Arabidopsis thaliana: one gene and its partner. The protein of the gene in region 1 interacts with the protein of each later gene in a biochemical or structural test. Each region holds a gene or a part of one and is shown in the gene's direction. Other genes may lie near its edges.

Evidence for each region.
Region 2: the proteins of AT4G22730 (region 1) and AT5G49770 form a complex in vitro, tested with the Arabidopsis thaliana proteins (one large-scale study listed by BioGRID).

What each region holds. Positions count from the first base shown.
Region 1 is NC_003075.7:11,939,125-11,944,394, forward strand, and holds AT4G22730 (Leucine-rich repeat protein kinase family protein), read left to right. Parts: upstream 1-1,876; 5' UTR 1,877-2,259; coding exon 2,260-2,689; intron 2,690-2,777; coding exon 2,778-3,038; exon of another isoform or gene 3,039-3,125; coding exon 3,126-4,019; coding exon of another isoform or gene 4,020-4,024; intron 4,025-4,090; coding exon 4,091-4,572; 3' UTR 4,573-4,761; downstream 4,762-5,270. Other genes in the region: AT4G22740 (glycine-rich protein), read right to left, coding at 4,926-5,053, 5,140-5,223.
Region 2 is NC_003076.8:20,220,785-20,227,966, forward strand, and holds AT5G49770 (Leucine-rich repeat protein kinase family protein), read left to right. Parts: upstream 1-1,884; 5' UTR 1,885-2,075; coding exon 2,076-2,169; intron 2,170-2,257; coding exon 2,258-2,381; intron 2,382-2,482; coding exon 2,483-2,554; intron 2,555-2,630; coding exon 2,631-2,705; intron 2,706-2,792; coding exon 2,793-2,864; intron 2,865-2,961; coding exon 2,962-3,126; intron 3,127-3,222; coding exon 3,223-3,297; intron 3,298-3,396; coding exon 3,397-3,468; intron 3,469-3,547; coding exon 3,548-3,619; intron 3,620-3,706; coding exon 3,707-3,775; intron 3,776-3,880; coding exon 3,881-3,955; intron 3,956-4,037; coding exon 4,038-4,109; intron 4,110-4,208; coding exon 4,209-4,343; intron 4,344-4,417; coding exon 4,418-4,896; intron 4,897-4,978; coding exon 4,979-5,131; intron 5,132-5,218; coding exon 5,219-5,355; intron 5,356-5,436; coding exon 5,437-5,656; intron 5,657-5,725; coding exon 5,726-5,961; intron 5,962-6,039; coding exon 6,040-6,483; 3' UTR 6,484-6,682; and 1 more. Other genes in the region: AT5G49760 (Leucine-rich repeat protein kinase family protein), read left to right, coding at 1-268.

The sequences.
Region 1 (5,270 bases):
TCTATGGCATTGCGTATTAAACGAAAAGTGAGTAAATAGAATTTATACATAATGATCTAATCTTGATCTTGCTAATAAAAATTGTAAAGGCAACAACAAGTTGTCAAAAATTTCAATTTGACGTAGAGATAAATTCTATCTAATAATTTTGTAAAAACATTCGAGATATAGTGTATCATTTTTCCATCATCTAGAACTCATTTGCGTATTTTCAAGTGTAAATCAGAACCTTGACACATAGGCTACACAAATTTTGGTCGATATTTATATTACTTTTGTAGCATAATGTGGATATCCTTCTAGAGACTAGAGTTCTAGATAAAACATTCATACATGTAACTATGTAAGTAAGCATGCATACTAAATATAAAATTTTCAAAAGTTTTAAAAGACATCATATAGATTCAAAAAGACGTGGGAAAAAGGAGAAAATGACAAAAGTTATTAGTAAAACAATCAAGTAAAAGGTCAAAGTAGTTAACGAAAAGATAAAAGTATTTCAAAAGTCTTCCTTCCATCTTGAAATGCCAAAAAATAAAAGACGAATGATTGAAGATAAATCAAAGTTGTCTGATTGCTATTGTATACATCTTTTTTTTTGTTAAAACTATTGTATACATCTAAAAAACCTTGAAGTAATCAAGATCTGAATTATAGCCGTTGATAAGGTTTTATGCTTTCACATTGAACTCGATCGTCGTCGTCAAATCTACTAGTCTCGTTTTTTAGTTTTAACGTGCTTAATTACTTCACTAATTTGTTTTTTGTTATCATTTTCACCAATTTTATTCATTGTGTGAATTAAGTTTTGTCCACATAGTAAGATTCATCAGTATAATAGGACATATGATAAAAGTTTGTATATAATCAAAGAGTATATCTAAGAATATCTAATTAAGATGAATGTTTCAGTCCACATTGGATTCTGCTTATAGTCAAACTGTCTTGTTCTTAAACCCAATTAGGTTAGAATACATGTACCAACAAATAGCATTTCTATAACTAATCTTTTATCAATTTACTTTATAGCCTACAAATAATTAGAGGAAAAGAAAAGAGAGTTAGTGGAATAATTGTCCTCTAAATCTCGATATCATCATTAACTAAATACTATATTTAGACCATATATACTATATTTTATAGTATACTATATTTTATAGTATATATAATCAACTAATCATATTAGACCACTATTAGAAATATGGATCTAAAAAAAACATTCTTTAATCAGTACTATTCTCATCCAAAGACTTGTTTTAAGAGACTAAATATGAATATGTGTATGTGTATGTGTATGCAGGAGTAGACACGTGCACGTGGCACATGCAGGGAATGGGAAGGTGGAGTGTTGACAAAGAAGAAGAGGATGATCCAAGTTTCGAAATGATTCCAAAAGTTATGAACTATAAGCCAAAGTGCTCAATCGCCAAACATGAACTTAAATAAACTTCACTCGTTAGATCGTTTTCTCACATTAAAGCCGCTCTACACTTTTACCCATTTTACCATTTATAATAACCACCACACATAGATATTAAGTTCTATGGATTTTATTCGTAAACTTAAGTTATGATCAAATAGCTAAATGATTTTGCGATTTGCCCGAGTTCTGTTTGTTTCTAAAATGGTTATCCAAAAAGCATATTTTTGTTTTATATAGAATTTGTGATATAGAAGAAATATACTAAAAATGTTTTAAAGTCTGTCTAAATCATAAACCAATGCAAAGAAAGTGAAATAAACCAAGATCTCGAGCAATAGACATAATAAATAAACAAACACCTAATAACATCACATCCCCACTAACAAATGTGAACATTAACTGTTAAAAATCACCAAAAAAGTCATCAAGATTTGGCTTTCCTTTTCAAAAGCAGTATACGTCTCTGTCTCACACAGACAGTGTATTCAATGCGTTGTGTTGTCTTCCCACTTTTCACCAGCTGAGGTTCTGCTTCTTTCTCTTCTTCTCTCCAAAACAAGAAAATTCTGCAGAATAACTTTTCATTCACGAGAGTGGAAGGTTACAGTTTTCCAAATCCGAGAAACAGACACAAAATTGGTCCCTCTCTAAAAGTTACTATCTTCGTTTAACAAAGAGATAGCTCCCAATCCAGTACAAAACAGAGTACTCTGCTCTATAAATTTCGTTCCTTTATTACTCTGCTCTATAAAACAGATTATTCTGCTCTATAAGAGAGATAGATAAATGAGCTAAAGCTCAGTAATTTCTAAACAGAGAGACAAGAAAATTCAAGAATGGTTACCTTATGTGCCACGTTACTGATCCTTCTCTCAATCTTTCTTGCAACTCCGTCGAATGTTCGAGGAAATGCAGAGCTGAAGGCTTTAATGGAGCTGAAATCGTCGCTTGACCCTGAAAACAAGCTTCTCCGTTCATGGACGTTTAACGGCGATCCATGCGACGGATCTTTCGAAGGAATTGCATGTAACCAGCATCTAAAAGTCGCAAACATATCATTACAAGGGAAACGTTTGGTCGGAAAATTGTCTCCGGCGGTTGCAGAGCTCAAATGTTTGTCAGGTCTTTACTTACATTACAATAGTCTCTCTGGAGAGATACCTCAAGAGATCACAAATCTTACTGAATTATCAGATCTTTATCTCAATGTTAATAACTTCTCTGGTGAGATTCCGGCAGATATCGGCTCCATGGCTGGCTTGCAAGGTTAGCATCTTATAATGTTTCACAGATCTTTCACTTGAATGTTTACTCGATCTTCCATTTGAATGTTTTGTGGTGTCTTTTGTTGCAGTTATGGATCTTTGTTGCAACAGTTTAACAGGGAAGATACCAAAGAACATTGGATCCTTGAAGAAACTTAATGTGTTGTCTCTGCAACACAACAAACTAACCGGAGAGGTTCCTTGGACTTTAGGAAACTTGAGTATGTTAAGCAGGCTTGATTTAAGCTTCAACAATCTGTTAGGTTTAATCCCAAAAACCCTAGCCAACATTCCTCAGTTGGACACTCTTGACTTGCGCAACAATACTCTCTCTGGCTTTGTTCCTCCTGGTGAGTTAATGATTCTTGAAACGTCTTTGTAAGAGCTTATCTCTCTGTTTCTTGACTCGGTTTTTTCTTCGTTATGTTTCTTCAAAGGTCTTAAGAAGTTGAATGGGAGCTTCCAGTTTGAGAACAACACCGGGTTATGTGGTATCGATTTTCCTTCTTTGAGAGCTTGTTCTGCTTTCGATAATGCGAATAATATCGAACAATTTAAGCAGCCTCCTGGTGAAATAGACACTGATAAATCAGCTCTTCACAACATTCCCGAGTCTGTATATCTCCAAAAGCATTGCAACCAAACACATTGCAAGAAATCCTCATCGAAACTCCCACAAGTTGCTTTGATTTCAAGCGTGATTACCGTCACTATAACATTGATTGGTGCTGGTATATTGACCTTCTTTCGCTACAGAAGAAGGAAGCAAAAGATCAGTAACACACCTGAGTTTTCCGAGGGAAGACTAAGCACAGATCAACAAAAAGAGTTCCGTGCATCGCCTTTAGTGAGTCTTGCCTACACTAAAGAATGGGATCCGCTAGGTGATAGCAGAAACGGAGCTGAGTTTTCACAAGAGCCTCATCTCTTTGTTGTAAATAGTAGCTTCAGGTTTAACTTAGAAGACATTGAATCAGCAACCCAATGCTTCTCAGAAGCTAATCTATTGAGCAGAAACAGCTTCACCTCAGTGTTCAAAGGAGTCCTCAGAGATGGTTCTCCGGTAGCTATCAGAAGCATCAACATAAGCAGTTGCAAGAACGAAGAAGTCGAATTCATGAACGGTTTAAAGCTTTTATCTTCGTTGTCACACGAAAACTTAGTGAAGCTACGTGGATTCTGCTGTTCTAGAGGCAGAGGAGAGTGTTTCCTCATCTATGATTTTGCTTCAAAAGGAAAGCTTTCAAATTTTCTTGACTTACAAGAACGCGAAACTAATCTGGTCCTTGCTTGGTCTGCAAGAATCTCCATCATCAAAGGGATTGCAAAAGGTTAAGTATTTGAAATATCACTTCTTTGAGTTCAAGGAACAAAATGTATTTAATACACAAATTTCTTGCAGGTATTGCTTACTTACATGGAAGTGATCAACAGAAGAAGCCTACAATAGTTCATCGAAACATCTCTGTCGAAAAAATCCTACTTGATGAACAATTTAACCCGTTAATCGCTGATTCGGGTCTTCACAACCTTCTAGCAGACGATATGGTCTTCTCAGCACTCAAAACAAGTGCAGCAATGGGATATTTAGCTCCGGAATACGTCACAACCGGAAAATTCACCGAGAAAACCGATATTTTCGCCTTTGGAGTCATCATTCTCCAGATACTCTCTGGTAAGCTCATGCTTACAAGTTCACTGAGAAATGCAGCTGAAAATGGAGAACATAACGGGTTCATCGATGAAGATCTTCGTGAAGAGTTTGATAAACCAGAGGCGACTGCAATGGCGAGGATTGGGATAAGCTGTACACAGGAGATACCAAACAATAGGCCTAATATAGAGACATTGCTTGAGAATATAAACTGTATGAAGAGTGAATGACTCTGCTTTTTAATTAGTATCTTTGTGCAAGTATGATTCTCCGGTTAGCTGTGTCCCACCAATTGGTTTTGTTTGTTTTAGTTCTCTCCAGTAAGAACCGGGTCCGGTTTATATTTTATTTAGATTTGTAGCTGAGAATTGAAGCTTTAATCAGTTAGCTATATGATTATAAGCAACGAAGAACTGATTAATGTAACAAAAGATACATATATAATAATCATCAAGGAGCAGTGTTTAAAACCCTCAAATCATGTCATCATACAGTTACAGTAATGATGATGCAACCTAAGTAAAGTAATTAGTCTTTGGTTACATTCACTAAAGATTTTCGAAACCATACATATAGGCGGAGATTAGTTTGTACCATGTCCTCTTACATTCATTGCAGCTTTCGGTCTTCGGGATGATTCTGCTCGTGCATGAGAAGGACTTGGATCAGTCGAGGGAAGTAACATTGGTTGCTCTCTGTTCACAAGACCACCTGCAAGAACATCAAAGAGATGATTTATCTTTGTTCACAAAGAAACGTACAACACGAAAACTTGACCGTGTAATAGGACTGCTTACTTCCAAATGAACCAGAGCGACTGGGTAACTGCATTTGCCTTCTAGCATTTCCACTCCAAGACTGTTCAAAACCAGCCAATTCATCTGCAGAATTTTGCAATTGAAAGCAAACGGTATATAAGGATATTTCA
Region 2 (7,182 bases), on another chromosome or scaffold:
AAGCAGTGGGAATCTAAAAGGGTTCGAGAAGTATGTAGACTTGGCTTTGAGATGTGTGGAGGAGGAAGGAGTTAATAGGCCATCAATGGGTGAGGTTGTGAAAGAGATTGAGAACATAATGCAGCTTGCGGGATTAAATCCTAACTCAGATTCAGCAACGAGTTCAAGAACGTATGAGGACGCAATCAAAGGATCTGGTGATCCTTATGGCAGTGAATCGTTTCAGTACAGTGGGAATTTTCCAGCTTCAAAGCTTGAGCCCCAATGATTGATTATGTTTCTTTTTGTTATTTTGTTATTTCGTAAGTGACTTCATACTTGAAATGCCTTGTGAATGTGGAGTAGCATGATTCTGTTTGATATGTGGTCGCTGATTATAAAGCAGATGAATGGAGAGCCAAACGCAGAATCAAAAACCACCAGATCTTTGGCAATGTCGACACCAGTTTCAAACATAAGAAAAGTAATCAAGCTCAATGTATGATGAATAATTGAATATATTAATTCTTGTTGAGAAGTTTGTGTGGTTTCAAAGATTTAATCCACACATCACACACACTTTTAATTTACTCCAAACCTTTCACATTTATGCATGAGATTATATTACAAATTTATATTACAAATAATTTGTAGTACGTAAGTAAAATTAGTATTAACTAATAAGAAAAAAAAGTAATAAAGTTATTGGGTTTGCAACCTAACACATCAACGATCCCATCGAACAACAACAGTTACATGACCCAGGGTGAATTTATGGTTGTCGTCTCATCTGAGAGCACTCTCTGATCTAGTGTCCTTGTTGTCCACACCTCAAACACGCCCCCAAAATGTATGACATGATTTAACAAAAAATAAAAAGAAACATGATTTAAGACATGTGGTGTGTGGCAACTCTGCCATATATTTCATGGTGAGGTAGCGAACCGGCACCAAGTTTTTCTCGATATGTTTCCTCCATTTACCATTCTTTACGGTAGACTACGGTAGACTCATAACTTTTTTTATACCGGAGTCATATCGTATTAGTTTCTTAAGAGGATTAAAGCACACATATGTTTTTGTGTCTTATTTACTACAAAAAGTCTTTTTACTAAAACACTAACAAAACAAAAATAACATACAAAAAAAATAAGAAAAGTGGTGGGATGTGGCCAAATAGCATTAGCATACATACGTAGGAAAAAAATAGACGATGTGGTCATATGTCAGAGTGGTCAAGGTCCCATCCCATCTCTGAGTTTTCCGTCGGTTTGGAGTATATTGATCGGAGAATATGATATGGGCAAAAAAAAAAAATCGATTAATTTTTAATCAATTTGGGGTACACTGAAAACAAAAAATATTTTTTTTATTAATTTACTTGGAGGAAGTACTGGTCAATATAACATCAAACCATCAGCATCATTCATTGTTGTTGCAATTAGTATTATTATCTCAAGTTGATAAAAGCTTGTGCTGATTTTTTCCATGACCATGACTTTATTGCATGTTGCTGTTAGAAAAACCATATCAGTGCATAGTCGCTTACCATTACTCTATTTCAAAAATCTCTCTTTTCTTGAGAAGAAACGTTCTAGGAAAACAAATAATATATACATGACTTCTCCCAGTTTTGTGCAGAAACAATTAAATGTTAGATCATTTAGTTAAGTTTTGTTACATATTGCATATTTATGCTTTATCATGTAAACAGATTTATTTATGTAGTTAATAAAGGACTAGTCTATTATAATGGTGTTTTGTGCCAAGTCATTGTTCATAATTTGTTCCTCCACATTACCGTATTGACATTTCAATTTCTCCCTTGGATAATACCTTTGAACCCTTCCGCAATATATAGCGGTTCTTTATTATCTATATCAAGTTGAACTATTTGTTTATATGGTCCACTGTCTATTTGTTTGCTTTATTTATAAATTTTCGCTTAACTTGTTCAAAGTCTTCTCCTTTATGTCTTACATGCTTTGTTAGCAAAGAACATGGAGGCTGCATTTTTATGTTAGAGTTCGTCATAACTTGTGCAGACCACATGCTTTCTTCTTGAACGAATTGTGATACATATCATTGTGTGTCTGATGAAGATGAGTTCAAGAATTGGATTATTTAAGCTCTTGATCTTGCTTTTCTTCCAAATTTACTCTGTTTATGCGTTCACAGATGGTTCAGATTGTAAGTATAAGTAGATGATGATCAGAGTTCTTTTAACAGATAAAGATTTCCAATTTTTTGTATTTTAATTCTTTCAATATTGGTGCAGTTACTGCTTTACAAGCCCTGAAGAACGAATGGGACACGTTATCCAAGAGTTGGAAAAGCTCTGATCCTTGTGGAACCGAATGGGTTGGAATTACATGTAACAACGATAACCGTGTTGTTTCAATGTAACACCTTGGTCCCTTTCTTTGTTTGTTCTTTTGCTGCTTCTTTCTTCAATATAATCCTCTATATACAGACTTTAAGCTGTGTTATTTGCTTGTTTCAGATCATTAACCAACCGTAACTTGAAAGGAAAGCTTCCTACCGAAATTTCGACATTGTCTGAATTGCAAACCTTGTAGGTCTTTCTTCTTCTTCTTTTTCCTTTGCATAAAAATGGATTTAGTTCTCATCTTATGATTCGATGTTTGCAGGGATTTGACTGGCAATCCTGAATTGTCTGGACCGCTTCCAGCAAATATCGGTAACCTCAGGAAGTTGACTTTCTTGTAAGCAAAGTAAACAAGATCTTAACCTAATTCCATCAATCGCATTATCTTATATATCGCCTTTTCTTTTGTTGTTTTCTTCTCTAGGAGCCTTATGGGATGTGCTTTTAATGGTCCAATCCCTGATTCCATAGGGAATCTTGAACAACTTACAAGACTGTAAGATTTGTTGCTTCTTATAATTTATAAACAGTCACTTTTTCAATGTAATCTTTAAAACTCATAATAAGTATTACTTTGCGTTTCCTCCATACAGCTCTCTGAATTTAAATAAATTTAGTGGAACAATTCCGGCTTCCATGGGACGGTTATCGAAACTATATTGGTTCGACATAGCTGACAATCAGTTAGAAGGAAAGCTTCCAGTTTCTGATGGGGCTTCTTTACCTGGACTTGACATGCTTCTTCAAACTGGGCATTTGTATATATAATCCCAAATCCTTAGTTTTCATTTTTATTTAGTTACTCTTTATATATAACATTCATCACTCTGACTCTCTTTTACTTTCTTTTGTAGTCATTTTGGTAATAACAAGCTTTCAGGCGAAATCCCAGAGAAGCTCTTTAGCTCAGAAATGACTTTGCTACATGTGTAAGTTTCATAGTACATGCAAAAGCTGAGAGTTTTCACTAGTTGATATTAGAAACTAACAAAGTGATGATTGCATTTTTGTTCTTGTTTTATCAATAGGCTGTTTGATGGAAACCAATTCACCGGTAGCATCCCAGAGAGCCTCGGCCTAGTTCAAAATTTGACTGTGTTGTAAGTAGTAGAAATATATTTTCCAAACTGTATGTTCACAAAATTTCTTTAATCTTATAAGATATTTGCTTTGTTACAGACGTCTTGATAGGAATAGACTAAGTGGAGACATTCCTTCAAGTCTTAATAATCTCACAAATCTTCAAGAACTGTAAGTGAGCAAATAAAGATTTGTTCTGTTTTCTTAAGATATATAAATGAAAAGATGTAAAAGATCTTGTAGTTGAATCCATTTCAGGCATTTGTCCGACAACAAATTTACAGGTAGTCTTCCAAATTTGACCAGCTTGACCAGTCTCTACACATTGTAAGTTTCAATATTTTTCTTCCTCGTTTGTTGCTCAAATTTAGCATCAGAAACCTTTCTTATTAATAATCAATCTAATGCCATGATATGATTATTATGTAACAGGGATGTGAGCAATAACCCGTTGGCGTTATCACCGGTTCCATCATGGATCCCTTTCTTAAACTCTTTGTCAACATTGTATGAGCATTCCTCTCTCTTTTTAGATATATATAGATTTGTGAGCATACATAATGAGAAAAAATGGTCTTCAACTTGGCAGAAGGTTGGAAGATATCCAACTTGATGGTCCAGTACCAACCTCCCTTTTTAGCCCTCTTCAATTGCAAACTGTGTGAGTCAAATAAGTCATGATCATGAATGTTCAATTGGAAAGTCAACTCAAAGATTTGTGAAACATGTACTGATTGGGATGGTTTTTCTTGACTTGCAGTTCCCTAAAGCACAATCTTATAAACACAACATTGGACCTTGGTACCAACTATAGCAAACAATTGGATTTTGTGGATTTACGAGACAACTTCATAACTGGTTATAAATCACCAGCTAATAACCCCGTCAATGTAATGTATGTATTCATCTTTGACCAATATGTAACATCTTTGAAGAATAACTTACGTATGTGTGTTGATATATCCATAGGTTGGCAGATAATCAAGTGTGCCAAGACCCGGCGAATCAGCTGAGTGGCTACTGCAATGCAGTCCAACCAAATTCCACATTTTCTACCCTAACAAAATGTGGTAATCATTGTGGTAAAGGTAAGGAACCGAATCAAGGCTGCCACTGTGTGTATCCACTTACAGGAGTATTCACCTTAAGGTCTCCTTCATTCTCCGGATTTTCAAACAACAGTAACTTCCTAAAGTTTGGGGAGAGTTTAATGACTTTCTTTAAGAATGGCAAGTATCCTGTAGACTCTGTGGCCATGAGAAACATAAGCGAGAATCCAACTGATTATCATCTTTTGATAAATCTCTTGATCTTTCCATCGGGACGCGACCGCTTTAATCAGACGGAAATGGACTCTATTAATTCTGCATTTACCATTCAGGATTATAAGCCTCCTCCAAGATTTGGTCCTTATATTTTCGTCGCCGATCAGTACAAAACATTCTCTGGTATGATGAAACGTAACACACACTCAAACGAAATCTATATTGATTTAACTCATTTTACTTATAAGCCTTGTTTGTTTCACAGATTTAGAAGATTCCAAGACAGTAAGTATGAAAGTTATAATTGGAGTAGTAGTTGGTGTTGTAGTTCTTCTGTTGCTGTTGGCTTTAGCTGGGATTTACGCTCTTAGACAGAAGAAGAGAGCTCAGAGAGCAACTGATCAAATGAATCCTTTTGGTAAAAGAAAAATGGTTTAACACTAGAACAAAAGACTTTTCTCTTGTCTTATGAAAATCCTGACAGCTTCTCGTTTGTCTGTTGTAGCCAAGTGGGATGCGGGGAAGAATGAAATGGATGCTCCACAACTAATGGGAACAAAAGCCTTTACTTTCGAAGAGCTTAGCAAATGTACTAACAACTTTTCAGATGCAAATGATGTTGGCGGTGGAGGTTATGGCCAGGTTTGTGTATTTCCAATGTCCTCAACTGAAACAACCAGAGGTAGTAGTTCAAATTATAATACCAATTTGATGGTGAAACAGGTCTACAAAGGTACCCTTCCCAATGGGCAAGTCATAGCAATCAAAAGAGCTCAACAAGGATCCATGCAAGGAGCGTTCGAGTTTAAGACCGAGATTGAGCTTCTTTCAAGGGTCCATCATAAAAATGTTGTTAAGCTTTTGGGCTTCTGTTTTGATCAAAAAGAACAAATGCTCGTATACGAGTACATACCTAATGGGTCCCTTAGAGACGGTCTATCAGGTATATATTTAATCTCTATATATCTTGCTTTGTTAGTTCTTTGGTGCTGAACTTGAAAAACAAATGTAGGGAAGAATGGGGTTAAACTGGATTGGACAAGAAGGCTCAAAATAGCACTTGGCTCAGGGAAGGGTCTAGCTTATCTTCATGAGCTTGCTGATCCTCCAATTATACATAGAGACGTCAAATCAAATAACATATTACTTGATGAACATCTAACCGCAAAGGTTGCTGATTTCGGTCTCTCCAAACTTGTGGGGGACCCTGAAAAAGCTCATGTCACAACACAAGTGAAAGGAACCATGGTGAGTAAAAAAGAATCTATCATAAAATATATGAAACCATTAACTATAAAAACTAACAATATCTCTGGAATTAATTAGGGCTATCTTGATCCTGAGTACTACATGACGAATCAATTGACGGAGAAGAGCGATGTGTATGGGTTTGGTGTGGTGATGCTTGAGTTATTAACCGGTAAAAGTCCGATAGATAGAGGCAGCTATGTTGTGAAAGAGGTAAAGAAGAAGATGGATAAATCGAGGAACTTGTATGACTTACAAGAATTGTTGGACACGACAATTATCCAAAACAGCGGGAATTTGAAAGGGTTCGAGAAGTATGTAGATGTGGCTCTACAATGCGTGGAGCCAGAGGGAGTTAATAGGCCAACAATGAGTGAGGTGGTGCAAGAACTTGAGAGCATATTGCGGCTTGTTGGATTAAACCCTAACGCCGATTCAGCAACATACGAGGAAGCATCTGGTGATCCTTATGGTAGGGATTCGTTTGAGTACACTGGGGTTTTCCCAACTCCAAAACCCTAACGCAATAATTGATTAATTTGTTCTTTCTCAGTTTTTTATTGTTTTGTTTTTTGGTTATTTTGTAAGTGACTTTACAACCTTAAATGCCGTGTGAATGTGTGTGTACTAGCATGATTTGATTTTTGATATATGTTGTTTTGTGGTCGCTGCTTATAAAGTGTAAACAAGATTGGAATCAAAATAAACATCAACCCTAAGCAACCCTAAGTTGTCATGATACTAAATAAATCTAATCACCGGATTTTGAATATACTCTCTTTGAGGTTGTCTCAGCAGTCCGGTTGTCATGTCTCTACGGGTATCCCCACGCACATATACTGTGCCAAGCAAGGATGCTAGTGTGTCCTTCTTGAATCCGCGAACGGATGATCTTTCTCTATTCTCATGTTGTAGTTATGATTTTCTTAACTTCGTTCGTAATCAAGTGAATACTTTCAATAACAGACTTGTATACACACTTTTTGGTTTTTTACGGTTTACTATTACAGTATTAATCGATTTTCTACCATAAAATTAAACTGTTTATCTAGTAATTAAAAAAAAACTGACACAATATGAAAATAAAAATGGTCACAAAAAATAGAATTTCTTTAGTAAAATGAAAAAAAATCACTTAATTTGAAAATTTTTTTTTAAGAGAAAATATAGTGAATTGTTTAATCTATAATCATTTGAATTGCAAGAAACAAAAAACAAAGA